Xenopus tropicalis: one gene and its partners. The protein of the gene in region 7 purifies or fractionates together with the protein of the main gene of each other region. This does not show direct contact. Links are inferred from orthologs where the notes say so. Each region holds a gene or a part of one and is shown on either strand. Other genes may lie near its edges. The genes, in order: jun, mta2, ctnnb1, top2a, top2b, aptx and parp1.

Region 1 (3,815 bases), on a different chromosome or scaffold from region 7:
TAAAAGCCAGTCTCCGTTCTCATGGATGCAACCTGATCTCCTGTAAACTTTTTAAGCCTCCCCAGCGCTCCCCCTACCTCCTTCACCCTGCTTCCAATCATCCTTTTTTTACTTTCATCAACGCCCACATCATAATCTACACACCCACCCACCAATAAACTCCCTCCCCCACCAAATTAAAAAAAAAAAAAAAAAAAAAAAAAAAAAAAAAAAAACTTTCCCTCACCTTTTCTCCCTGGCTATCCACCCCAGTGCAGAAAGGCATGATCATTAGAATGTAGCACATGCCTACACAACACTGGGACCCTTTTAATAACAATGATGCTATACAGCCTTACATGTTCTCTGTCACTGACACTGGTGTATCTATGCAATGTTGCGATCCTCAAGCTCTTGTTGAACTCCTAGTCACATACAGCCCCACCCCCACACACGGACCCGCAATGGCCGGAGGGCTGCAACTTGGTCTCCCCCGTGTCCTACACAAAGTAAAACAGCGAAGAGAACAATAACTATAAAGCCAGTAAAACTATACCACACTAATAACATTCTACCGAAAATAACCAGTTGTTTCAAAACTACAACTCCCAGCAACCACTACCACATTTTAGTTCGGCAACTAACAAACAACATATTGAAAAACCTGCCATACTGATCGCTTAAACCTGTGGAAATAATCTGTTTCAACTCTGAGTTTTCAGTTTCACCAGCCGACAAACACAGCCCAAGTCCTCCGGTTCCTTATGTGACAGACAACCATTACAACCATATCGCGCTTTGCTAGGAAAGGGATGAGTCTCCTCCGCGGCTTACGACTACCATACAATTGCCTCAAGCCCCTGTCCAGTACCAGGGGGTGAGCGGAACAGCCCTTATGGCGGGAAACCCACGTCAAACTACCATCCCAACTACCAAAGCAAGGAACGGGCACCGCCAACAACAATACGTCAGCCCACAATGCCCAGCGGCAAAGGAGCATTACCTCATCCCATGAGCCTTCGCGAGAGTTAGAATCTTCTAGGGCGGTCGTCATAGCGACCGAGGCTCATTTGGCCTCGCTGGCCCGCCTCCCTTCCCAAGGCTCAACCAATAGCAGGACGTTGGGGTGACATCATGTCTATTTTTAGTGGGTGACCGCTCGCAGATAAGTGTTAGCTGCACGCTGTCCCACAGCCCAGTACAAGTGAGTAGAGCTCACACTGACAGCACTTGTGGCGCTTGGGGAGAAGGAACGTCTAACTTCTCAGTGACTTCTTCCTTGTGTCCGTGTGCCTGACACCTATACTGGGCACACGCACACACCCAGCGCTCGCCATTACATATCTCCGGCGGCGCTTTGGAAACTTTCCCGGGAGTTTATAAGAACTTTTGTGGCGTTCGGAGTACGAGGACCTCTTTGCTGCTAGAGACACAAAGTAAGTCGCATTTATTTCTGTTATGTGCCAGGCTGGGAGCAGTTGTGCTTGAACTCTCACTACGGGACACTGCCAGTTGTAGTTCGGCAGGCGAAGCATAAGTTCCATTTAGAAGAGGGGTGGAGGTGCCATGGGGTTCGGTGTGTCAGCTAACAACCTGTTCGCTCTTCTCTCTAGGCTGGTGCTGGTGTCACACTAACGTAAGGTCCAGTCATCGTCCCTGTCCGGCATCCGTTCTATGACTGCAAGGATGGAACCTACTTTCTACGAAGATGCCCTGAGTGCTGCTTTCGCCCAGCACGATGCTACTCCCTATGGTTACAACAAGGTGCTGAAGCAAAGCATGACCCTGAACCTGTCGGACCCCAGCAGCGCCATCAAACCTCACCTGAGAAACAAGGCAGCTGAACTGCTCACCTCCCCTGATGTTGGGCTTCTCAAGCTCGCCTCCCCGGAGTTGGAGAGGCTTATCATCCAGTCCAGCAATGGCATGATTACCACCACCCCGACCCCCACCCAGTTCCTGTGCCCCAAGAATGTCACAGACGAGCAAGAAGGCTTTGCAGAGGGGTTTGTTAGGGCACTGGCAGAACTCCACCATCAAAACAACTTGCCAAGTGTAACCACTGCCACCCAACCTGCCAGCACGGGACTGACACCTGTATCTACTATTGCTGGAAACACTGGCTTCAACAATAGTCTTCACAACGAGCCCCCTGTGTATGCCAATCTAAGTAACTTTAACCCAAGTACCATCACCACATCATCGCCTTTTAACAGCAACACCATGGGGTATACCGGCCAACATCAGAGTAACCCACCAATACCCGTGCAGCACCCCAGGTTACAGGCTCTGAAAGAGGAACCACAGACTGTACCTGAAATGCCTGGGGAGACTCCTCCACTGTCCCCTATTGACATGGAGTCCCAGGAAAGGATAAAGGCTGAAAGGAAGCGTATGAGGAATAGAATCGCAGCATCTAAATGCAGAAAAAGGAAACTGGAGAGGATTTCCAGGTTGGAAGACAAAGTTAAAAACTTAAAATCCCAGAACTCTGAACTGGCATCCACTGCCAACATGCTTAGAGAGCAAGTAGCCCAGCTCAAACAAAAAGTCATGAATCATGTCAACAGTGGGTGTCAGCTAATGTTAACACAGCAGATGCAAACATTCTGAAAAGGCTTCTTTGGGAAAGAGATGTGAGAATTATTTTGTGGAGGGAAATAGTTTCATGTTGAAACTCCCTGGCTCAAAATGAAAGGCACTGAGACCTGACTGTTCTACGTGCGTGTGCGGGGAGTCCTGACAAGCCTTTAGGTGGAGCCTGTGGCAATGCAACAAGCAGTATCACTTGTCAAGTGCTGTTCCTGCTCTAATGAAACATCAGATACATGTTTAACATTGACCAAGACCTGCATGGACCTAACATTCGATGATCATTCAGTATTAAGAAAAGGTTAAACTGCTAGAGACACTAGATTGCTTCCGTAGTTTTCTTACAAAGGGAGGGTGTGGGAGGGAGGCATACGGGACATTGAAAAGTAAAATTAATGACAAATCTGCCTGCCTTCTACATAACTGTGTATGTGTACATATTTGTTTTTTTTATTATAATATTAAGAAAAACTGAATTATTTCAGTAAAATTGCTTCAAGCATTTGTAAGTTATTTTTATGTTTGGGTTAATAAACCCACTACTTTCTGTAAATAAGAGATATTGAGCACTCTTGAGTTTACCATTTGTAATAAAGTATAATAATTTTCTATGTTTTTGTTTCTAAGGACAATTCCAGACGTTCAATTATATTTAAGATATTAAATAAAAGATGTGGAAATTAGATTTTTTTATTTATATTGATATTTTTTTTTACACTGCAATAAACGTGCATGTTAAACTATCTCCTGTGTATAGTACTTGATATATTGCATGAGTCTATTCAAGGGTATTATATTTTGACAATTATTTGATATGGGTATTGGGCAATATAAAAGTAAAAGCAGAAAAGAACATACTGACCAATATTTTCTTTATATCATAGCACTTGGGGTTATTTATATATGCTATTATAAAGTTCTGGGCTTTTGGCAAGAGTTTGCTGCTGTTATTATATGTTTGAGGGGTTAGGAATGGTTTACAGTATTCTCCAGCCTTATTGGCTAAATAATCATTTCCAAATTGTGCACCACAAATACCAACTGGTTGCCAGCCCTCTTCAATTTTACAAATTGATAAATAGTTGCTTTTCCTAAGTTTATTGAAAAAAGAAAAGTGTAACAAATTGATATAGTAGTAGTAACTAAAGTAGCTACTGATGAGAATATACCAACTAATTTATTAAACTGTAGCATTTTAGAGTCCTTGTTTCTTAAGGTGCTACTGGGAAACACAAGAGGTGTGA
Region 2 (4,284 bases), on a different chromosome or scaffold from region 7:
ACATACTAAAAGTCAACTTGAAGGTGAATCACCTATTTAAAGGAACAGTAACCCTAAAAAATTAAAGAGCTTTAAGGTAATAAAAATATAATGCACTGTTGCCCTGCACTGGTAAAACTGGTGTGTTTGCTACAGTAACACTACTATAATTTATATAATAAGCTGCTGTGTAGCCACGGGGGCAGCCATTCAAGCTGGAAAAAAGGAGAAAAGGCACAGGTTACATAGCAGATAACAGCAGATAACAAATAAAACACTATTGTATTCTACAGAGCTTATCTGTTATCTGCAATGTAACCTGTGCCTTTTCTCCTTTGAATGGCTGCCCCCATGGCTACACAGCTGCTTATTTATATAAATTATAGTAGACTTTCTGAAGTAAACACACAACTTTTACCAGTGCAGGGCAGCAGCACATTATATTTTAGTTACTTTTATACACTTTCATTTTTTGGTGTTACTGTTCCTTTAAGCTAGCCCACATCTATTAATCAATCGGCAAGTAGTGTTTACTGGCCAGCTCTTTAAAAACAAACATCTAATTAGTTGCTATGAGGCCCGCACTGGCGATCTGTGGAGTCTGGCAAATGCCAGAGGGGCTGCTGTAAGATGCCATAGACCGTTACTATTTTTTGGGTGGGCTACTAAAAAAAAAAAATGTAACTATAGGGACTTAACATATGTTAACATAGGTACTTTGAGCAGGCAAATTTCTTTACTGTCCTGAAACATATAAAACATATTTCAGTAGGCATCACATATAAGCTTAACATACTGCTTCCTATGAATCCAATACACCTTTGTTATTATTATACTGCAGTTTAATTCCACGTTACAAAAACATGTAGGCTTATTAAAGGAGACGGTGGTGTAGAATGAAAAGGCTGGACTTTTGTTTTTAGTTCAGCTTTTCAGGGCTGTGGAGTCGGTAGATAAATTCTCCGACTCCTCAGTTTCTGATACTTCCGACTCCGACTCCTCTGTTTTTAACATGTTAATGTATTTTATACATTCATACAGTCAATGAAAAACATGCTTCATGGTCACTCAACGTGTTTGTTTATGCACTGCGTGCATTGGGCTTTATTCTTATAGCAGAGAAGTAATTAATTATGACTGTTTGTGAATTGGGACATTTAAACTTGCTTTATTTTTTTTTTATTCCCATTTAAATTTAGTAGGAGTCGGTTCATTTTTTGCCGACTGACTCCAGGTACCCAAAATTGCCTCCGACTCCTCGACTCCACAGCCCTGCAGCTTTTCACTTTACTGCGCTTGCACTCCCAGCTTAAAAAGCAAAGAGGAAGAGAATTGCCCTGTGGTGCCACTACAAAAATACCCCAGTCCAGTGCAGTTTTCAGCAAATGGGAGAAATGGCCCTGGGTACCAGGCAACTAACTGTAATCACTGTGGGAAGGGGGGGTGCTTGAACTTCCCTTCTTTTTAACCGACACCTGATGAAATTCATCCACTTGTGTGAATGCAATCTATCACATTAGACTGTAAGCTTTACTGGCACCACAACTGATACAAAGGATAAATGATCAGACTACATTAATAAGAAGGCTCTTTCACAGATTATGGAATGTTAATAAAGGTTAGTTAAGAAAATAAATTGTAAATACCCACAAATTTCTTATGCAAACAAAAAAATGTAAAAAATCCTATATAAATATGTATAAACAAGTGTAAAGAAAATTAACACTTGGGGATAAAAAAGTTGTGTAAATACCAGCTTTGATTGTGTTCAAGATAGACAGGTTATAGTTATATGCTGCAGGATAATGAGAGTTCAACATGTCCTTGGGCAGCCATGGCCCAGAAACAGTGGATTACAGTCAGGTCAAGATTGACAATCAAAAGTGGCCCTGGCTTTTCAAGTAGACAGAGGCCCAAAAAGCCCAATAAATATTGACTGCCTATAGAATCTACCTGCAGCCCCTCTGGCATTTGCCAGATTCCATAGATTGGCAGTACAGTCCTGGTTACAGGGTCATCTACCTGATAAGCAATTTGGCACAGAAGCCCTCTGAGCAAGATCAGCAGGGGTTATTCTCATGGAAGCTCCCTGTCTTACACACACAAGCAGTGACAGACAGACAGACCTCACAGAAGCCAGTGCACAAAGTCAGGGCAGTTTCCATTGATCAATATTATGAACAGTGACAAACAGGCAGGGTACATAAGGGGTGGTCCTAACAGCCCCGGCCACTAAACTAGGCTGAGTGTGATTGAGTCAGGTAAAGAGTAACCGGGCTAGTTTAATACTGCAGAAACAGCACAGCAGCATTTTAGTATTTAGGTTACATACTGACATTTGTGTGTGTGTGTGTGTGTATGTATATAAATATATATATTTATGATCTATGTGTGCATATATATATATATATATATTATGTGTGTATTATATATTTTCTGCATTAGACTAAAGACACACAATGCACAGAAATAAGATAAAGATAATCATTCTACATTTCTGCATGTAAATAAAAAGCGTTTACTTTAATTCAGCATTCGGTGCTCGCTACTCTGTACAGATGATGTATGGGTATAGACTCTCCCTCTACAGCGGATAAAGTGTGTGTTTAACTACATAGTATAAAGCTCTACAGATATGCTTTCGGCTCAGAATGATTTTACTGTGAGTTCTCACCTCCCACCCGGTACATATTAGCCGCCATCTTGCTCTCTCCCGCGCACAATAACTCGGGAATCTGCGCGCGTTTCCGGGGCCTGTGGGGGGAGAGGAAGGGGAAGAAAGAGGGGCAACTTCCGGCATAAAGAAGCGAGCAGCCTTCCGGGGGAGGGACAAAGCGTTCGATTGAAAGAATTATATCCGGACATAAACGAGTGCTTCCGGAATCAACTGATGACTTCCGAAGAGGGAGACGGGAAAACCCGAACTTCTCCGAAGTAAACGACGCACAAAGGCTGCAGTCAGTAGAACGCGCTCGGAAGGAGGAAGTAGTTGTGGACGCATTAAAGTGATGTGCGGCAGAGTTGGTCTGCTAGTATCCCTTACTTTTAATAACTGGTAAAATGCTGGTTTAGTGAGTAACGACATACACGTCCCTATGGTTTAAGTTTACTCTATCTGAGCTTTATGGAATATAATATACAAATCGTTCTGTAATATGCGGTGTATTATATATATATATATATATATATATATATATATATATATGTGTGTGTGTAATATATATTACACAAAATGTGTGAATAATTCAATAAAGGTGCTGCTCAGTAATGTCATCATTTATAATTGGTGCTTATTGATTGAAAGGCTCTTGCTATTACAGGATGTAACAAATCACATGATGCCTGATTTTAAAGGAGAACTAAACCCCCTAGGTAGAAAAGCCCCACTCAACTGACCTCCATCTGCCTCCTCACCTTTCCTACCCTGCATAGTCTATTTAATAACAAAGTGTCCCTATCTGAACAACTGAAATAAAAATGCAGCACAGCGCAGATTGCAGGCTCCATCTTCACTCCCTTCGATCTTCTTTGTGTCTCTCCGCCAACACTGACCCTGCAGGAGTATGTAGAGTTGTGATTCCGCACTAGATTCAACTGTGCATGCTCCTGCTTGCTCCATGTTTCATAAATGAAATACTGCATTCTGTGATTTTGTCCTTGTAAGGGGTGAGTATAATTGTTTGAAATCAGCCGTGTATAAGTTGGCAAAGGAAGGGGCTACATTAGAGCCCATACTTGTATCACTAACTTATTGGTAGTATAAAAGTTCAAATTTAAAATAATAATTGGAGAGACAGCATTCCAGTAATTCCATAAGAAATTCATTACATGGCCATGTACTGTCTAGATGGGCAATCGGATGTTGGCGGATTGTTTGGATACCCAAGTATGTAGGGATCACTATATAAAGAACGTCTATAGCAAGTTTACTGTTGAGAGATAAAGGCAATGCTGTTTTAACTTTGGTTAAAAAGTCCCCAGTGTCCTTATTCTAGATATCCCTTGTAGTTTTGGTTAAAGAAAGTCCATATAGATAGCTATTGGTTGTAAAATAGACTTTATAGCACTTACTATGGGACGGCCTGGAGGTTTCCTGCCATTTTAAGCTGGCCATACACGCACCAATAATATCGTACGAAACCTCGTTTCGTCCGATATTCGGTGCGTGTATGGCAAGTCGACGAGTAGACCGATATCGCAGGAGGCTGCTGATATCGGTCGACTCGCCGATCGGGCCAGTTAAAAGATTTTGATCCGGCGCCATAGAAGGCCCCTGACCAAAATCTGCCTTCATCGCTGAATCGG
Region 3 (4,258 bases), on a different chromosome or scaffold from region 7:
TACACACATGACAGCATACTTAAACCCCATGGGAAAGTCCATCTATCGCTTCAATAATGTTAAGTTTACATGGAACAAAGTTACCTACTTAAACAGTAAAGTAATATGCCATTGACGCAGTAAGGCAAACCTACAAACCAAAGACCCCTGCTCCTCCCAAACACACATGGATTGAATTTGCATGCTAACACTTCAAAGGCTAGTTTTTTGCAGGAGTTTGACTAAAAGGACAACATTTAAAGCAGCTAGTACACGCCACAGTGCTTCATTTAAATTTGATGTTTAGTGGTAGCTGCACTTTTACTTCCTGGCAAGGAAACTAATGCAGCTTTTATAGAAGTACTTTGCTGCTCACACAGAAAGTATAGTTAGTTGTACTGGTCATTTCCCAGGACACTGCAAAGGCAAGCACTGTTCCATAAGGCCTATTAACACCAGATAGTGCTGCTCGCACAGTTAACAATGAAGTGTCTGTCTTTGCCAGTTAGCAGCTACAAACCACTATTATGCTTTATATAGAGCCAACATGTTCTATGGCAATCTAGAGAGCTTATACAGTAACATTCCCTGCCCCAATGAAGCATGATCTATGGTTCCTACCATACACCCACTCTGGGGAGGAGCCAATTAACCTTCCTGTCTTGGGAGCATAGAAGAAACTTAAGAAAAAAATGCTACACATTAAGAACATACTAATTCCATGAGATACTGTCTGGGGAAGTAGACTTACGACCCGAAATGCACACAGGTCACCGACTAGGACCTTTGATTCTTGCAGCAGTGAACAGAAAGACCCCCCCATGTCCAATTGGCCATTTCCCAATGGGCAACAGCATGTTTTCAAGATAGTTGCAAGATCAAGGAAACATACTTCCCATGTCAAAGGCAGGTGAGGGAGCAAAGTGCACACTGCCCACCTACTGAACTGTTTAAGGAAACAAATCCTCTACCATTCTGAACATGCAGTTGCATTAGTGCCAAAACGGGCTAGTTACAAATATTTGCCCTACCACATCGGCTACAATACTTGCACTAAACATTTGTACTGTTAACTGGAGAGGAAGCCACAAATGCCCCAATGCATGAATTGCCAGCAGGCCCTTCCTTCCTACTGCAGCTGGTGGAACAAAACCACCACTTGTGCGCAGACTGCTGCAACTGAGAAACAATCAAAACACTGCCATAGCTTAACATGAGAAGGTGGCTTTTATCGGAAGCCATAGCTGTATTAAAGTTGATATTTAGTCTAGTTAGTTGTCAAATAAGAGCCGTGCCCCAGCACAAAACAGCTAGAAATGTGTTAAGTGCCTGGAATTTCTGCACCACATTTTCTCTTAAGATCACATTCCTGACTAGTCTAATCTATTCACTACCCTGCATACTTTCAGGACAGGAGAGGGTGGAGATGGAGTTGGGGGAAAGAAAAATCCATGTCCTGGAGACTAGCCTTGATATGTAACAAAACCTCAACTAAAGCCATGTTAGCCAATACTATAGCACATGAGCAGATTTCATCCCAGTAAAAAGCACCTAATGCCACCTCCCACTAACCTGAATTTCTCCAAGCTCCACCACAAACACTTTTCAGCTTGAGGGTGTTTGTTTGCATATTTGCACACTGAAAGGCACAAGTGAGCTACTCTCACATTACCTACTCCATGGGAAGCGGCAATTGTTTGTACTTCAGTAACATTTGCTTAATTTATAATATAGATCATTTAACTTAGCATTAAATCACAAGTTTTGGCACCCACAAGTTAAAATCTAAACCCAAATACGTACAAGGTTTCTTACAGGAAGCCAAACCTTGTACACATTAGCTGGAACGATAGGATAGTAGGGCCCATGACTATAGCTTACTGCTGCAACAAAACACTGGAAACACTAATTCTAAGCGGAAGGGCGATGAATATCCTGGCTTGACTGAGCCTCACCCTAGGCCAAGACAGGGAGTGAATAGAAAAAAAAAAGTTGCAAGAGTGGCTCATATTTCACAGCTCCATCACTGAAACACTAAGTACACAGGGGAGAGTTTCAGGGAGGGGGAATATATACACATTCCCAAAGCTGCCCTAAAACAACGTATGGATTTATACATGTCCCGCATCGTGAATCTGATACACTGGATAGAATTCTCCATTCCTGCACATTAGTTCTCACATCTCAAAAGCAGTAGAACCTGCAAGCACTCAGCACATCACTCCATGCCAAAACACACATTATAAAAGTTCTAGAATCAAAGGAAAGAGGGCCAGCCCGCTGACGCACAAAGACGGCTTTTAAACAAGGTGCCAACAAGCAGATGGAAAGGGTAGTTTAGATACGTATCTATTGGGATTCCTTAAATAGGACTGTATGGTACCCCCCTACACACCAACAATACTATGCAGTACAGTTATGGGACAAGTACAAAGGCACACACACACAACCAACTTCCGGCCCTGTTTCTGATCCTTAACTCCAAACAATGCTCTACCCAACGAGGCCAGGCGGCCGCAAGTTCCACACCGCAGACATGTACAGTACCTGCCCACAATCCTTAAAAGATAAAAAAAACGCACTAACCACACTGCCAAGTCAAGTCAAACAGATCCGACCACGTTAACCTCCATCATGTGGCTCCCCAGCTGTTGCATAACCACAAATGCCACCACTCCCCAAGCAGCTTCCTAGGTACGGTAACAATCGATAGCGACACCGAAGCTACAAAAAAAATAAAAAGACATTTGCAGTATCTTACCGTTGGCTCGACGTCCACCGGTTCCGGCCGTCACCGCGTTTCGCCCGGTACTGGCCGTCTCCTACACACCTCCAGACCCTGCAGGTTCCGAATTGTGTCCCACTTTAAGATGGACGGGGTATGGCGGCAAGAGCGTTGATTTTCTTTTCCCCGTTTATGTTTCTGATCCCCTTCAGTTCCCAGCCATGAACAAACGCACTACTCTCCCGTTCGCTTGAAACGCGACACACAGGCTTAAAATGGCGCCGCACACCCTTGTTTTATATGGGTCGCATTACATACGCGTGTGAATATCCTTCCGCGGGCTTCGGCGGCAGGAAAAGGTCTCATAAACGGGGCGTGGGCGGAGTGATTCAGAAGGAAATATAAAAAATAGTTCTTCCCCAAAGCAAATGCCCTCCCTAGGTTGTTGTATACAGAGCTGCGGAAAATACTAAAAGGGCAATTGTAATACTATCATATGCTCCGCATGAAATATGCAGATACGTTCGAGTAGAGCTGGTGCATAAATGTTTCTTGTAAACCTAAAGATGCAATTCGCCACCCAACTGTTAATGGTTTGTGTATGTACGGAAGCGTAAGTTAGTTAATGGCGATATAGTGGCAATTGTCACAGGCATGGGTGTTACTGAATTAAGCATTAAAAAGTTTTTGTGTCAGGTTTTGGAAGCGACGAACAGTTTGGGCGGAGATGAGATTCATTCCTGCTCATTGTGCGGATTGGAGGACTTAAACGCGGAATGATCCTCAGTAGGAAATGCGGCCGGAGCTGTTTTTTTTCCTCCTAGGCTTGGAATGTGGAGCCCGATGAGGGCAGAGTTGGAGACAAAGAAAGGAGGGGGAAGTATTAACTCTTTCGTTGGAATTGTAACACGAGTCCTGCACGATTGAAGTGCTGCAACAGAGCTCAATATTAAACCAAAGCTTAGAGGAGAGGGTACATTTGCCCTGCCCCCTCCAAAGTCACAGGGCACGTCTGGGCAGATAAGAGATAAAAGCAGAATGGACAAAGTGTATTGTGTAAACGTTTATGAGATATTTTTAGTGTATCTGTCAGGGATGTGAAACCTTGTGCACTCCAGCTGAAGATGAACTGCAACTTCCACCTTTCTGTTTACACAAGATTGATTGTATTTAAACAGCAGCAGAATAGTAGACTGGACAGTCCATGAATGATGTATTTTTTCCAACTTAATGGTCAAAGCCATACAGTATTGCCAGTGGTTTCCTTTATAACACTTGCCCTGCATTAAACAGCTCTCAGTGTATAAGATGTCCAGCCTGTACCCCATCCAGTTAGGGTTTGCAGCATCCTTGATCAGCTAAAAGCCCCGGGCCTTTTTGTAGTTCAATAATACCTAATCAAGAATAAACCTGTGGTACCCATGTTTAAAAAAAAAAAAAAAAAAAAAGTGAAATTTCATTGGTCTTTAGAATGGGTGCCTAAAATGAATAGGTGATGGTTGCATAATACGAGGTGAAGGTAATGTCTGTCAGCAGGCTACACCCATGAAAGGA
Region 4 (3,500 bases), on a different chromosome or scaffold from region 7:
TTATTATTATTATATTTACTGTGATACAAACACCAGAAATGAAGTGTTTTACATCGGCATACTTCTGTATACACAAGGTCACGGCAAACGCAGTAAAGATCTGTAGTGGGCCAAACTTGGATATTAAGATACTTAAACAAAAAAAATTGCCCACGTTTAATATATTGCAAAACAGAAGTTCTCACCAGTCTTCGGTTTCTGGACTCGTTTTTTAGGTGCAGGTTTCTTCTCTGCCACTTTAGCACTTGACACTTTGGCACTGGGAGCCGGTGCAGGGGCGCTGGGAGCACTGGTCATTATGGGAGTATCCTCATCTTCATCTAATGCAATTACTGGAGCTAGACAAAAATACAACAGAACCAGTCACATTAATACCAAGACATAACTCAGATCTGCCAGGATACAGAATGGTTAATATATGTTGTGTTATGTTATCTATGAATATAGCATGTTTCATTGCAGCAGAAAAACAAGCCAACATATGGCTGAACTGGGGTAAACATACATGTGTGATCCTTTATTTCATTGTGGTCCCATTTGTACTGGGCTCATAAAACCCCCAAAACACGTTGCCATATGTAATGTATTACTATGTGAATATCCCAAGCAGCTATTCTTGATAAAACATACCTGCTTTGTCTTTCTGTGGAGAGTTTTCTGGGCTTTCAATCTTTTTAGCTTTCCTGTTAAATAAGTTAAACCATTTTAGACAAAACATCAAATCTTACAGAAAAAAAAGCCTTTAAATCAGTAGTCACCAACTCTGTATGTTTGCAATTCTGTTACTTTTTATAAGTTTTTTAAATCACTCCCCCTCATTCAAGTTTCTACCTGGTTGCCAGGGAAAAAATGCATGTTGTCTATATAATACTAACATTTAGAAGCTACCAATTTCCATCAGGATGCCAGTAAGGTAGTTTCCAATCACATCCTTTTTTTAGTAAGCAGCATTAAATGGTGGAAACAAAATTGTCACCAAGAAATGGCTTAAGTTGATTTGTACCTAAAGGGAGGGGAGAGTACTCACTTGGGCGCAGCTCTGGGCTTTTTGGCTGGCTTTGCAACTACAAAGGATTCATCTTCTGAATCAGATTTTGGGTTGAAATCACTGAATTCACTGTCACTCTTCTCCTGAGGCATCTTTATGCCGCTTCCCTCTTCTTCACCGTCTTCATCAGAGCTCAACATATAGTTCACTTTAGCTAGAAGCAAATAAAAACATTTGTTATCAAGCAGAACCCTTTTATGTGGTAACACATTCCATAGCAGGCCTAGGCAACTATCAGTAAATGAATGAATGAAACAATAAAGAAGCTCTAAAAACAAACAAAAAAACCCCCAGCACTGGCCTCTATAGGGCCCCCTTTTTGCACCAGTACTTGCATCAGAGGCATTTGTCGGGAAGCCCTAACACCATGTTAAACACTATGTTCATAAAACCCCAACTGTGTTCAGACTGCAGAGGTAAATTTGCTACTAGCATTTCTCACCTGCAACATTGCGGCGTGGCTGAGCAGCACGTGGCACCACTTCTTCCTCGGACTCGCTCTCTGAATCCTGGAATGTGCTCTTTGCCTCTTTTTTTACTGGCTTGAAGGGTAACGTTGCCTGCTTCTTGTCTTTGACAGCCTTTGCGCCTTTATGTAAAAGCAGTTATAGAAATGTTAGATTGCAGCATAACACCAGCATGCAAACAGAGAAGCTTTCATTAAAAACCATTTACACACCTGGCTCTTTTTTAACTTTTTTGCTTAATCTTTCGGCAAGCGTTAGGCTCTCTGGACTTTGTTCTGGTGAATTTAAGCTGTCTCCTTCACCATCGTCTTCGAAATCCATCTTCTTAGCAACATCCTCACCCTAACAAATGGCAAATGTTTGGGTACATTTTATAAATGCAAAAGTCAATACATATTCTATATATACATATGCTCAAAAAGGCCAGTTATTGTTGAGCCAAGCAAACCTAAATCTATACAGAAACGCTCGTTTACCTTAATTCTCTTTTTCATCTTTTTGGTGGCTTCCGCTTTCATGGCTGTTGTGACCTTAGGGACAACACGCCTGCCATGTGGAGATGGCATAATTTCCTGCAATTGCATTTTCTTTACTTGCGGTCTCCCACTCTTTCCTTTAACCACTTTGCCTGTTGTTACGGACTGTTCTTCCCTTTCTTTGGCTTCTACACGCTGTCACAAAGCAAGAACACAACTCCTGTTGTTGGAACCGCAGCAATTTATATAAAGCAACAAATACCAAATAGACAAAGGAAGGATAGATGTTACTACTTACGTCTAGCTCCTCAACAAATGCAGAAAGGTCTTCTTTCCACAAGTCAGAAGGTGATTTCTTTTTCAGGTCCTGAAGCTCTGCGTTCTAAAAACAAAATGACAGCATTTATTGGAAATGCCAGATAGTGACACTCACCACTAGAGAAGGTGGAAGTATTTAAATATTATCAAACCAACATCAAGGCAACTCCATATTTAGTAATAAGTAAATGCTATGCAGTAAAACCCAAGCAAACATCTCTGATGAGTTATCCGACCACTGAAAGTCACAATTAAAGAAGGGTTGGTTTCTGGAGACAGTAATGTATGTTTGGAAGCACCCCCAGTATAGTATCTGACTGTCGCCAGTGGTGTAACGCCCTAAACTGGCCAGGTCCATAATCCAGGAAAGCAAGAAAAAATGGAAGCCCAGCACACACCAAGATATGATGCTGTAGCAGAGATTTATGGTACCATACCATATGGCTATATAAGGCTGACATTTCATGGGCTTGTATCTGCCGACCACTACTGGTCATAATATCTAACCATCTTAGAATTGGCAAATAAGCCACATTTGTTCCTAGTCAAACCCAAACAACTAAATTCACTTAAGATGGAAAAACAACTCTAAAGAACTATTTTAGTTCTTTGCCATTTAAGACTTTTTGAAAGGTCTTTTATTCAGACAACCAAATCTTTGTAATGATTTTAGAGCCTTTTGAGTTTGAAGATAACCAGCCTCTGGGATGTAATGTAGAAGAACCTATTAAACTGTGTTCCCCTGTTCACACCTCAGGAGCAGTAGAAACCCACAAATAATCCCTGCATACTACAAAAAGAACATATACTGAGGTGGTACTGCAATTAAAAAGTTTTTTAATATATATTTATTGTGCAGACTGTAGGAGCAGTGCCAGCATTGTGTCACTGTAGGCTGCCTGTGTGTGCCATACACACGGGCAGCATAGGGCAAGCAGAGTATGGCACACACAGGTAGGGTAGGGAAGGCAGAGTATGGCACACACAGGCCAAGTATGGCACAAACCAGCCAAGAATGGCACACACAGTGAAAGTATGGCACACACAGGCAGGGTAGGGCAGGCAGAGTATGGCAGGTTTTTGCTGTACTACAACCATTAATATGGGTATGGTCATGTGATAACATGGGTGTGGTTTCAAGTTAATCAAACCCTGTAGAATAGTAAAAAGGTTTGCATATATCTGCTTTTA
Region 5 (3,500 bases), on a different chromosome or scaffold from region 7:
AGAACAATGCGTAAACAAGCAGGGCCAGCTCATCAAAATGTGGCATAAAGTGAAAAGGAAAGGCTGAGGGCCCCAATCTCATAGAACAGCGCTAAAAATTTTAAACCAGTAATATCATTACAGAAATTGATTTACAACACATCAATCCCAAACATTAACCACTCTGACATGACAGTAACCACTGTTAGACTGGCACACTAGAGGCCCACCACAGGTTCCCTAATTAAATATGAAAAACCACCAGTCAGATTAAAAAATATTAGCTCAGGATTTTAAGCAGAATTTAAATAGTAACTACTGATCAGGTACAGCACAGACAGATTTTACACAACCGCACAACCTGAAATTTTAGCCAAAGTATATACATTTAATGCAAAATGAGAGGACCTTAAAACTAACTAGTCAAAAGAGCTGCTTTCATCCCACCTCCTAAGCTTAACCTGTCAGCTCCAAAATTTATTTAGGCAAAGAACGCTTACTTTTTTTTTATCAAGAGGGAGCTTGCTAACACTCCCACTGCATCCCTGGTTACGTTTCTCTAGGACAGCTGATAAAATAAATAGTGCAGTGCAGAGCTAAGTGCATTACTTCCGGCAGCCCTTATGGTCATCCTTCATTTCCATATGAGCGCTGCTCCTTCCCTGCTCTGTCAGCCTCCAGTGACGCTGTTGCCGACACTCTGCAATTTATTGCCAAACAGATTAGCTGGGGCCTGTTAAGAACAGAGCACTTATCCAAACTAAGAGTTGGACATGCGGTGCACATTCTACACAGAGTATGCTGAGTTCAGAGTTGCGTGTGGTTCAACTAGGTAAGCCAGTGGGCCAGTCCGACCCTGGCAGGGGGTTACACAAACGGGGTCTGGAGGGAACCATGTCACCCGACTCGAGTATAAGCCGAGGGTGACTTTTTCAGCACATTTTGGGTGCTGAAAAACTCTGCTTATACTCGAGTATATACGGTAATTATTCTTCTTTGCAGTTTCTTCTCCCTCATGCACAGGTTTTATACTTACTTCTGTTCTTTATTTTATTGCAGAGAGTGGAAGCTCAAGAAAAAGAAGATGTCTTAGCAGGGTTTGCAGGCAAAGCAATAAAAGGCAAAATTGGAAAACCCAAAATGAAGAAATTACAGCTTGAGGAGACTTTGCCATCTCTTTACGGCAGAAGAGTAGAGCCACAAATCAGTGCAATGAAAGCAGATGCCAGCAAAAAGATGCTAAAGAAAAAGAAGGTGAGGCTACTTGCTAACAGGATTACCTTGCAGTGGCTGTATCTTTGGGACTCATATTTTTGTGTTAAAAATAAATAAGGTACAAGATTTTGTAACAGACTTGCTATACAAAATATAGCAACGTATGGGCCAGCAAATAAGTTACATCATATCTGGGCCTCACTGAATACATATTTTCCATTAAACTAATGACTATTGACTGTTGTATACTCCTCCTTTACATGCTACATGCTGTGAGTCTGTTTTTAAGGCTGTTGTCTCCATGTATTCTTTATTAGTGCCCTGTGTGGATAGAAGGCCACAGACGAGGGAGTGTTGCCTGGTGTATATTTTCCCCTGATGTGCAGTTCTTGCTTAAACAGGCTAGGGTTTTGTGTCTGACAGCTGAGAAATGTCTCTGTTAGCCATTAATGGATTAGCATTACACAATACAAAAATATTGTTTGTAGCAATAATACTTTTTCTAGTGACTGAAACAGATTTTATAACACCTTGGTTCTAAAGTATGTAAAACCCCAGCATGTTTCTCCTATGTATTTCACAGGTTTCAAGCCTCTTTGTTTCTGTAGAATGTTTCACAGTTTTTTGCCCAAAGTAAACTGCACATATTTAGATATCGCTGTGCACATGTTCAGCTTCCTGACATGCAGGACATTGCAATTGTCTCCTGCTGAAATACACCACACACCTGCACCAAAGTGTCTCTGCTGCCAAAATAATCTGTCTCAGCATTTCTTTGTTCTAGAGAATTCACTGTTGTATTTTACAAATTGTTTTAAGGGTGAAATTGACTCTATTGCACTGAAAATGGAATTTGATGAGGAGTTTAGCTCGGCACCAGCAGAGGGAGGAGCTGAAGATTCCATGAATACCACTCCTGTAAAACCTGTAAAGCCCAAGAGAGAAAGAAAAGAACCAGGTAGGTGCCTGAGCACATGGGTCCATTCCTGGAAGTCCAAACATTTTGAGTGAATATAACTTTTTTAAAATAAATTTAAATGATATTGGTGTTTGGTTTTCCAGAATTTGTAAGACTTCTAACCCAATACACCTGTATATAAAGTTATTAGTGTTAACTTTCTAGCCCTGTTTAACAGTTAAGCACTGAATATTGCATTTTCATAGAGGGAATTAATAGTCAAAGCTTTCACACGTCAACTCCCATATCTGTGAAGTAATTCAGAATTACAAAGAACATAGATGATTATTTATATTCACAAGTAATATTGTTTCATGTTTTACATCTCATAGAAAGATTGGTTGAGTTTTGTAGCAAGTGAACCATGTAACTTCCTGGTTTTTAACTGAAGCCCAGTAGTTTTAGTTAAGGAGATTGCCAGACATAGCAGCCATATTTTTGTACTCCAGGCTGCAGTTGTTGTTGCTACACATTGGTGTTTTAACATGATCTAGCTTTTGTTTAAGGTTTACTGTCAGTCTGGCTTTTAGGCAGACATTGGCATTATACATTTTTACTAAAGTCCTATAAACGAGGCGGTCTTATAAAGAGGATTACTATAAAAGTTTATTTCCTAGCACAGCACTTTTTCAGCTAACTTAAAATAGGATCTGCAGTGTTCCCTATCCTTCATAGAGAGAGAGAGAGAGACTCTCCTTTTTTGCTGAATGGAAAACAGGTGCATATTAACTATATACCAGTGGTCAGTAAAATGAAATACAGTGAGTTGTAGTTTTCCGAATATACTTTGATTTGCTCATAGTGACTTTTTTTTTATTTGAGGTCCTCGAGCCAAAAAGACTGTATTAACACCCAAGTCATCAACCAAGAAAGGGAAGAAGCGAAACCCTTGGTCAGACAATGAGTCAAAATCAGACAGTGACCTGGAAGAAGCTGAGGCAGAGCCTGTGGTCATTCCTCGGGACTCTCTCCTAAGGAGAGCAGCTGGTATGTATCATGGAAATATGGGGGCACATCTCTGCAACACAATATTGCTTTCCAGGATATTTAAATTTATACCATTTTTTATAATCTTGAGGGGGTGATTTGTTAACAGTCAAGTATGAATTTTTTTAGCGTAAAAAATCTAATTCAAGTTATGGTTCGAAAACTTATTTTATCGTATTAAGTGCAAAAAAACCTGAAAACTCGAATATAAAAATTCACCATCTAAAAGCTTGTGAGTTTCTAACCAAGACAACTGGAGTTGTCGTAGGCAAAGTCAAGCAATATTCTCAAACTTGAAGTTTTTGAGTTTTTAGAGCTCAAAAACTAGAAAAATATGAGAGATTTGAGTTTTCTATTTCCT
Region 6 (4,168 bases), on a different chromosome or scaffold from region 7:
GTAATTCGGAGCTTTCTGGATAACGGGTTTCCGGATAAGGGGTCCGATACCTGTAGCAAGAGAACAAAACAGAGATCTTAAAGGCATGGTTCACCTTTAAAGAGATACTGACACCAGAAATTAAACCTTATTTACATCTACCGTAACACTGTCTTTGCATGCTATTTATAATTTTTCTTAAAGGCATTTATGCCATCCCACCGGCAATTTACATTTTCACCGACCGGAGGGATGGCATTTTGGGGAGATTAGTCGAGGGCGACTAGTCTCCCCGTGTGACACAGCCCTAAACCAGTATTGATTTCTGAGGTTACCATTTTATTGTTATTGTTTCTTTGTATTACTTATCTTTCTCTTCAGTCCCTCTCCAGTCTCACAAACCACTGCCTGGTTGCTAAGGTAAACAAGGCTCTAGCAACCAGACAGCTGCTGAAATTCCAAACTGGAGAGCCGAGGAACAAAAAATAACTGAAAAACCACAAAAAAAATAAAAACCAACTGCAAACTGTCTTAAAATATCATTGTCTATGTCATATTAAAAGAAAATTTAAAGGTAAACAACATCTTTAAATTTGACTCAAAATTCCCTGAATTTCTTGCTTAATTGTTTTAGCAGAAATAAAGAATTGTGTACAGGGGATGGTTGTAAATCGTACATTCTCTGAATGAAGTAGGGTTCTCCACAGGGTTCTGTATTGGGTCCTTTTTTATTTATTCATTAATAACTTGGGGTGGGTATTGAAAGAAATTTATCAGTGTTTGCAAATGACTAGGGATGCACTGAATCCTGGATTCCGTTCAGGATTCTGGCCGAATATAGCCTTTTTTTTTTTTTTTGAAGGATTCAGTTTTGGCAGAATCCACAGTCCCGGCCGAACCGAATTAGCATAAATTCATATATGCTAATTAGCATTCGGAAGGGTTAAATGGTAGGGGGAAGATTTTGAGCTATATTAAAAAGGGGTATAGATTTGCATGATACTCTCCCTCTTTTTAAAGGGGACCTGTCACCCTAAGAAATAATTACAAATTGTTTTCTATTGTGTTTGTCAAGCAAAATAAACTTCAATTACACTATATACATTTTTTGAAACCTATTTCCTTCAGCCTTGGAATTCACCATTGCAGAAAACAGGCAAGCTCCATTTTGTGGACACTGTTATTAAAGCAAGCTGTGCATCCTGCCAAAATCTTGTTTCTGTGCCAGTATGGGGGGACCCGATACCCATGTACATGCACTGGTTACAAAATTAGATGGTGAGGAGGGAGGGGGAATGTGAGGAGAGCAGCAACATCTAAGAAGTTCTGAATTGAAAGTGAAATTAACTGTCTGCCCCACCTCTATGCCTTAGGCATAGAGGCGGTCAGGAAATATTTAATTGACAGCTGGGACTTGCTTGTATAATGGGTATAGATGTGTTAATAAAAAAATGACTTTGGGTTACATGTTTAATTTGAAAGGGGCTTTTATTATACAGCTTTTTATGTCTGTGTGACATGTCCACTTTAAGGCACCAGTAGGGCCTTAAAGGAACAGTAACTCCAAAAAATGAAAGAGCTTTAAAGTAATAAAAATATAATGCACTGTTGCCCTGCATTGGTAAAAGTTGTGTGTTTGCTACAGTAACACTACTATAATTTATATAATAAGCTGCTGTGTAGCCACGGGGGCAGCCATTCAAGCTGGGAGAAAAAGCACAGGTTACATAGCAGATAACAGATAAGTTCTGTAGAGTACAATAGTGTTTTATCTGTTATCTGCTATGTGCCTGTGCCTTTTCTCCTTTGAATGGCTGCCTCCATAGCTGCATAGCAGCTTATTTATATAAATTATAGTAGACTTTCTGAAGTAAACACACAACTTTTACCAGTGCAGGGCAGCAGCACATTATATTTTAGTTACTTTTATACACTTTCATTTTTTGGTGTTACTGTTCCTTTAAATATGCAGCAGTTTTGGTCTCTAGAGCCTTATTGATAGAGTTCAAAGAAGAGGGAACAAGCTGATAAAGGGAATAGAAAGGCTGATGAAATGCTATGATAACCATGTATGAATGCACCTTACAATAAACTTTTTAAAGGGAGCAAGAACCACAGAACCATTGTTGACAACCAACATACAAGGCTGGCTGCTTGTACTCATGTCCTGCAAGCCCTATTAACCGTAAATTATGCCCACCAATTTCCACTTGGTTTTCTCCTTGTAGTCCTGCTCATATGATAAGCTTAAAGCATGGGTATTCGGCATGTAATAAATGTACTTGTTTGTAATGAAAAATTGCCTTTGACCCATGTTTTCTGATTACAATATTGGACCCTGGGCAACTTGGAATTGTCTATTGCAGTCACAAAGAAGCAGCATCCCTTCTGATGAGATGACAACTTCGCTCTTTAAACGGCATGGCTATATGTTGTAAAGTTATCACGTTTCTGTGAAGCCTTGCAGCTATTCGGTAGGGAAGCTGTCCCTTAAGACAATTCCAAAGACGCAAATTTGTATAAATATATGTATGTACAATCTTACCTAGCGTGGGTACACACGAAACATCAACAGCTATACACTACAAGGCGGAGCCTGCATATACTATGACCTACGGAATACAAGTGGACGCAAATCTCTGTCGGCCATTAATATGACAGACACGTATTTTAAAAGGCTGATAAAACACCACGTATGTGAGTGTAAAAAAAATCATTAGGCGTTTTTCGTGGTGTTTAACCATACCAATTCTTAGAATTCACGTGGTCGTCAATCAATTCAACTGATTTCAGTGCCACGTAGCGGTTGGAACGCAAGGCGTGCTGCAGTGAACCGCATCAGGCACGATTGGCAGCACGTTCCCGCCCTCACTAACGCGCAGTTGGATTGGAGCCTGAGTATTTGCCGGTTCCGGACTCTAGGCGTCATCGTGGTCTCACCACCCCCTTCTCTTTCCTTTTACATAAGATTCCCGGATGTGACTCTTGTTCCCTCGATCCTTCTAGAAGCTGTTAGACGGAGAAGACCGCTAGCCACCTTGAATATACAGTGCATTATCGTGGGTATGAAGGCATTAATACATTTATTTATTGTTGATTTTGTTGTTTTTTTTATCCCAGCTAAATGGAACACGTGCCGTGTTTTCTGTCTCAAACGTAGTCGTTGCTTTTATATGAGCGAGTTTTGGATGTAAGCGGTTATTGACTATATTTTTTGCAGGTTAGAATTGAACTCTAACGTTTTTCCCTAATGAATAGTACGCCTGGCTATGATTTTTTTAAATTCCTTTGGGTTATGATATCACATTTGTCGGTCCGAGGTTATGTGGGTTCGTCTTTGGTCGGCGAGGAGGTACTGAGCTAGGTGCCTGATGTTGGCTATTCTCTTGTCACGTGACTTGGCAGTGTTGGTCATTTGACTGGGGTCAGTGTTTCATTGCTCTTTTCTCCTGATTGAAGGCTCCCTGGGGCTCAGTTTTGGATCAATACCGGGTTTTAGTGTTTCTAGGCAATGAATGCCTGAAAAGTGACCCACCTCTAATTGTGTTGCTAAGAGAATTGCATAAGTGTATCCACACATGAAATACATCATAATGCATAGGTTTTAGCGGTACAAAACCCATGGCATCCTTCAGAAGTCTGACCACTTTGTGAGAATTAACTATTTCTATGCACGTTGTCCCAAAGTGTATTACCAGGATTTCTGTAGTTTAACAGTAGTGCTGGTGTCATATTTTGTTGGTTTATTTTTTTCTTTTATTTATGATTATGATTATTTAACTTATGATTATTTATGATGATCAATGCAATTCAACTTCCTACATGTTGCAGAGAGACTGTTACCTATTCCACATATTCATTATACAATTTACACATTTACTTAAAGGAACAGTAATGCCAAAAAATGTTAGCCTTTTAAAGTAATTAAAATGTACTGTTGCCTTGCACTGGTAAAACTGGCATGTTTGCTACAGATTTCCTACTATAGTTTATATAAATAAGCTGCTGTGTAGCCATGGGGGCAGCCATTCAGATTGGGGGGAAAAAGGCACAGGGTACTTAGCAGATAACAAATAATGCTCCATTATATTTTACAGAGCTTATCGGTTATCTGCTATGTAACCTGTGCCTTTTCTTCTTTGAATGGCTGCCCCCATGGCTACACAGCAGCTTTGTTTATATAAACTAG
Region 7 (4,086 bases):
GTCTGTATGTCCTTTGTATTGATGGGAGGGGTCACTGGGGGAGGGGCCATTGGGAGTGTGGGAGGAGGGGGGGCCCAGAAAATCTTGTTGTGAGGGGCCCCGTGATTTCTGATGGCGGCCCTGCCCCCATATAAAGGCACAAGGCTGCAGGCTGAGTTATACAGGGAACTCTGAGTATCACTCATGTATTATAGGGGGTAATGTACCCCCTACTGTAAATGATAAGGATATTAGCAGTCACTGAGGGGTTCTGTGCCCATATAAAGGCACAAGGCTGCAGGCTGAGTTATACAGGGAACTCTGAGTATCACTCATGTATTATAAGGGATAATGTACCCCCTACTGTAAATGATAAGGATATTAGCAGTCACTGAGGGGTTCTGTGCCCCCCATATAAAGGCACAAGGCTGCAGGCTGAGTTATACAGGGAACTCTGAGTATCACTCATGTATTATAAGGGATAATGTACCCCCTACTGTAAATGATAAGGATATTAGCAGTCACTGAGGGGTTCTGTGCCCCCCATATAAAGGCACAAGGCTGCAGGCTGAGTTATACAGGGAACTCTGAGTATCACTCATGTATTATAAGGGATAATGTACCCCCTACTGTAAATGATAAGGATATTAGCAGTCACTGAGGGGTTCTGTGCCCATATAAAGGCACAAGGCTGCAGGCTGAGTTATACAGGGAACTCTGAGTATCACTCATGTATTATAAGGGATAATGTACCCCCTACTGTAAATGATAAGGATATTAGCAGTCACTGAGGGGTTCTGTGCCCCCCATATAAAGGCACAAGGCTGCAGGCTGAGTTATACAGGGAACTCTGAGTATCACTCATGTGCTATAAGGGATAATGTACCCCCTACTGTAAATGATAAGGATATTAGCAGTCACTGAGGGGTTCTGTGCCCCCCATATAAAGGCACAAGGCTGCAGGCTGAGTTATACAGGGAACTCTGAGTATCACTCATGTATTATAAGGGATAATGTACCCCCTACTGTAAATGATAAGGATATTAGCAGTCACTGAGGGGTTCTGTGCCCATATAGTCACAAGACACAAATCTGACGCCTTGTTATTATCCTTACATAATACTTTGCCTCACACAGACACACATTCCTCACACAAACAAACATTCCTCACAATTCTCACACAGACACACAGATAAGCTAGGGAAAGTGACGTCACTAAGTGTGCTGGGGCCACGCCCTCCCTGCCCAGACATGGGCAATGGATTGCCGTTCCCCGGATGCCAGGAAGCAAAGCGGCCCAGACGCGCACTCTGGCGGTGATTGCTTGTGCCTGTTCTGTTGTGTGGCGGGCTTGGGGCTGCACGCTGTTCCAGTGGGAGCCGGAGTGTCCCTGTGTGTAGGAGCCGCTCCTCCCTGCAGCCATGGCCGAGGCCTCGGAGAAACTTTATCGGGCTGAGTACGCCAAGAGCGGCCGCGCCTCCTGTAAGAAATGCGGAGACAACATCGCCAAGGAGTCCCTGCGGCTTGCCCTCATGGTGCAGGTAGGGGCCCGGCTGGGCTGCAGCATTATTGCCTATGGGGGGGCTAGTGTGGCTCATACAGTATGGGCCATTATTGCCTATGGGGGGGCTAGTGTGGCTCATACAGTATGGGCCATTATTGCCTATGGGGGGCTAGTGTGGCTCATACAGTATGGGCCATTATTGCCTATGGGGAGGCTAGTGTGGCTCATACAGCATGGGCCATTATTGCCTATGGGGAGGCTAGTGTGGCTCATACAGTATGGGCCATTATTGCCTATGGGGGGGCTAGTGTGGCTCATACAGTATGGGCCATTATTGCCTATGGGGGGGCTAGTGTGGCTCATACAGTATGGGCCATTATTGCCTATGGGGGGCTAGTGTGGCTCATACAGTATGGGCCATTATTGCCTATGGGGAGGCTAGTGTGGCTCATACAGCATGGGCCATTATTGCCTATGGGGGGGGCTAGTGTGGCTCATACAGTATGGGCCATTATTGCCTATGGGGGGCTAGTGTGGCTCATACAGTATGGGCCATTATTGCCTATGGGGAGGCTAGTGTGGCTCATACAGTATGGGCCATTATTGCCTATGGGGGGCTAGTGTGGCTCATACAGTATGGGCCATTATTGCCTATGGGGGGCTAGTGTGGCTCATACAGCATGGGCCATTATTGCCTATGGGGAGGCTAGTGTGGCTCATACAGTATGGGCCATTATTGCCTATGGGGAGGCTAGTGTGGCTCATACAGCATGGGCAGTTTGTAAGTTATTAGCCCTGGGCTAATTGCCCTAGTAATGGGGTATAGGAAAGTGCCCCCTCCAGCCCAGTGGGTTATTATTGTGAATACGGGTCCTAAGGTGGGGTGTCATGGAAGGTTATTGCCCCAGGTTAAGGTATGTTGTGAAAGCCAATGGATAACATGCTCTAGGTAAGTGCCCCAGCTGGGGTACTTTTGAGTTCAGGTATAGGGCAGTAATGAGTTGTAGGGGGGCTTGTTGCCCCTGAATGGGGACTGTTGTCAAACGGTAGGTTTGTGATGTATAGTAGGTAATTGCCCCAGTGATGGGCTGTTATTGCCCTGTGTTGGGGTATTCTGTTGGCAAGCCAGGGAAGTTAAGGGAAAGAACCAGGGCAAATTGTTGGTCTTTCTCCCAGAATGGGGTAACATGGTACCAATACTGGGAATAAGAAGGCGGATCCTATATACAGTTTGTTTCTGTATCTGCCCAAACCCCTCCCCCAGGGAGAAGCCAGGGCAATTCTGGATGTTTACACACCCACCGTAGAGCTGCACAGCAAGAGGAATATTTGCCCCGTGTTCCCAGAGGCTGCCATTGGCCTGTATTTACAAGACTTTACAGTGCCGGGGGCCCATTGTAAGGCTATATACATACCGAGCAGCTCAGAACCCAGGGGGGAGCCGGGGCAATTGTCTCTACTAGATAACAAAGGCTGGTGTCACACTGGGCACTTTATTAGCCCCTGTGGCTCTGCAGCACCCACCCCCTTCCTTCATGATTACTGTGCTGAACTGAGACTAACTAGGTAGTATCAGTAAGGGATTTCCAGCTGAGTCCTATCTACATACAAATATACGGAGAAGGAATGTTCTGGGCACACAAAATGATGCCCTCCATACTGTACTGTCTAAGGGAAACACTATGGCACCCCCTACCCATATGTATAAATACAAATATACAGAGAAGGAATGTTCTGGGCACACAATAAGCTGTACCCCCATACTGTACTGTCTAAGGGAAACACTATGGCACCCCCTACCCATATGTATAAATACAAATATACAGAGAAGGAATGTTCTGGGCACACAATAAGCTGTACCCCCATACTGTACTGTCTAAGGGAAACACTATGGCACCCCCTACCCATATGTATAAATACAAATATACAGAGAAGGAATGTTCTGGGCACGCAATAAGCTGTACCCCCATACTGGTCAGCCAGTGCCCCCCCACATACATGCCAGGTGATGGTGGGGAGACCAGACTAAAGTGATCTCATCTGATTGCATTGGATTTGATCAGCAGTGATGTACATACACTGAAGCACAGTTCTAGGCATCAGTCCAGATAAACAGTTTTGCTTTGGTCTTTATTCAAGACCCCCTCTTTCTCTGTGTATGGGAATTGTATCTATTTTGGCTGAAGTTAATGCACCCGAGTAAGAAAAATTCAGTAAGTGGCCTTGTGCTTTGTTTTGCAGTCTGGAACATCGAACTTTGCTTTTAATATACAGGGATGGGATCAGTTATCTGAAAACCCAGAAAGCTCCAAATTACGGAAAGACTATATCCCATACTCAATTTTATTCAAATAATTCAGATTTTTAAAATTGATTTCCGGTTTCTCCTTAATAATAAAACAGTACCTGTACTTGATCCCAACTAAGATATAATTACCCCTTATTGGGGCAGAACAGCCCTATTGGGTTTATTTAATGGTTAAATGATTCCCTTTTCTCTGTAATAATAAAACAGTACCTGTACTTGATCCCAACTAAGATATAATTACCCCTTATTGGGGGCAGAACAGTTCTATTGGGTTTATTTCTTGTGTTAGCAGGTT

What was found.
Region 1: the proteins of parp1 (region 7) and jun purify together in Homo sapiens (co-immunoprecipitation; 3 studies listed by BioGRID and IntAct, with this or other methods). This does not show direct contact. The link is inferred for Xenopus tropicalis from reciprocal best matches to the Homo sapiens genes PARP1 and JUN.
Region 2: the proteins of parp1 (region 7) and mta2 purify together in Homo sapiens (affinity purification with mass spectrometry; 3 studies listed by BioGRID and IntAct, with this or other methods). This does not show direct contact. The link is inferred for Xenopus tropicalis from reciprocal best matches to the Homo sapiens genes PARP1 and MTA2.
Region 3: the proteins of parp1 (region 7) and ctnnb1 purify together in Homo sapiens (affinity purification with mass spectrometry; 4 studies listed by BioGRID, with this or other methods). This does not show direct contact. The link is inferred for Xenopus tropicalis from reciprocal best matches to the Homo sapiens genes PARP1 and CTNNB1.
Region 4: the proteins of parp1 (region 7) and top2a purify together in Homo sapiens (co-immunoprecipitation; 3 studies listed by BioGRID and IntAct, with this or other methods). This does not show direct contact. The link is inferred for Xenopus tropicalis from reciprocal best matches to the Homo sapiens genes PARP1 and TOP2A.
Region 5: the proteins of parp1 (region 7) and top2b purify together in Homo sapiens (affinity purification with western blotting; 3 studies listed by BioGRID and IntAct, with this or other methods). This does not show direct contact. The link is inferred for Xenopus tropicalis from reciprocal best matches to the Homo sapiens genes PARP1 and TOP2B.
Region 6: the proteins of parp1 (region 7) and aptx purify together in Homo sapiens (co-immunoprecipitation; 3 studies listed by BioGRID and IntAct, with this or other methods). This does not show direct contact. The link is inferred for Xenopus tropicalis from reciprocal best matches to the Homo sapiens genes PARP1 and APTX.

The regions. Positions count from the first base shown.
Region 1 is NC_030680.2:86,738,694-86,742,508, forward strand, and holds jun (transcription factor AP-1), read left to right. Parts: upstream 1-1,148; 5' UTR 1,149-1,653; coding exon 1,654-2,592; 3' UTR 2,593-3,315; downstream 3,316-3,815. UniProt on the Homo sapiens protein: Transcription factor that recognizes and binds to the AP-1 consensus motif 5'-TGA[GC]TCA-3'.
Region 2 is NC_030680.2:36,848,645-36,852,928, forward strand, and holds the start of mta2 (metastasis-associated protein MTA2), read right to left. Parts: upstream 2,801-4,284; 5' UTR 2,682-2,800; coding exon 2,654-2,681; intron 1-2,653. UniProt on the Homo sapiens protein: May function as a transcriptional coregulator. Acts as a component of the histone deacetylase NuRD complex which participates in the remodeling of chromatin.
Region 3 is NC_030682.2:53,356,337-53,360,594, reverse strand, and holds the start of ctnnb1 (catenin beta-1), read right to left. Parts: upstream 2,801-4,258; 5' UTR 2,741-2,800; intron 1-2,740. UniProt on the Homo sapiens protein: Key downstream component of the canonical Wnt signaling pathway.
Region 4 is NC_030686.2:8,636,589-8,640,088, reverse strand, and holds part of top2a (DNA topoisomerase 2-alpha), read right to left. Parts: intron 2,374-3,500; coding exon 2,290-2,373; intron 2,187-2,289; coding exon 1,992-2,186; intron 1,858-1,991; coding exon 1,728-1,857; intron 1,638-1,727; coding exon 1,491-1,637; intron 1,203-1,490; coding exon 1,028-1,202; intron 684-1,027; coding exon 631-683; intron 339-630; coding exon 186-338; intron 1-185. UniProt on the Homo sapiens protein: Key decatenating enzyme that alters DNA topology by binding to two double-stranded DNA molecules, generating a double-stranded break in one of the strands, passing the intact strand through the broken strand, and religating the broken strand.
Region 5 is NC_030682.2:47,634,985-47,638,484, reverse strand, and holds part of top2b (DNA topoisomerase 2-beta), read left to right. Parts: intron 1-1,038; coding exon 1,039-1,233; intron 1,234-2,013; coding exon 2,014-2,152; intron 2,153-2,974; coding exon 2,975-3,139; intron 3,140-3,500. UniProt on the Homo sapiens protein: Key decatenating enzyme that alters DNA topology by binding to two double-stranded DNA molecules, generating a double-stranded break in one of the strands, passing the intact strand through the broken strand, and religating the broken strand.
Region 6 is NC_030677.2:94,453,522-94,457,689, reverse strand, and holds the start of aptx (aprataxin), read right to left. Parts: upstream 2,801-4,168; 5' UTR 2,726-2,800; intron 2,717-2,725; exon of another isoform or gene 2,525-2,716; intron 1-2,524. UniProt on the Homo sapiens protein: DNA-binding protein involved in single-strand DNA break repair, double-strand DNA break repair and base excision repair.
Region 7 is NC_030681.2:7,987,611-7,991,696, forward strand, and holds the start of parp1 (poly [ADP-ribose] polymerase 1), read left to right. Parts: upstream 1-1,286; 5' UTR 1,287-1,400; coding exon 1,401-1,520; intron 1,521-4,086. UniProt on the Homo sapiens protein: Poly-ADP-ribosyltransferase that mediates poly-ADP-ribosylation of proteins and plays a key role in DNA repair.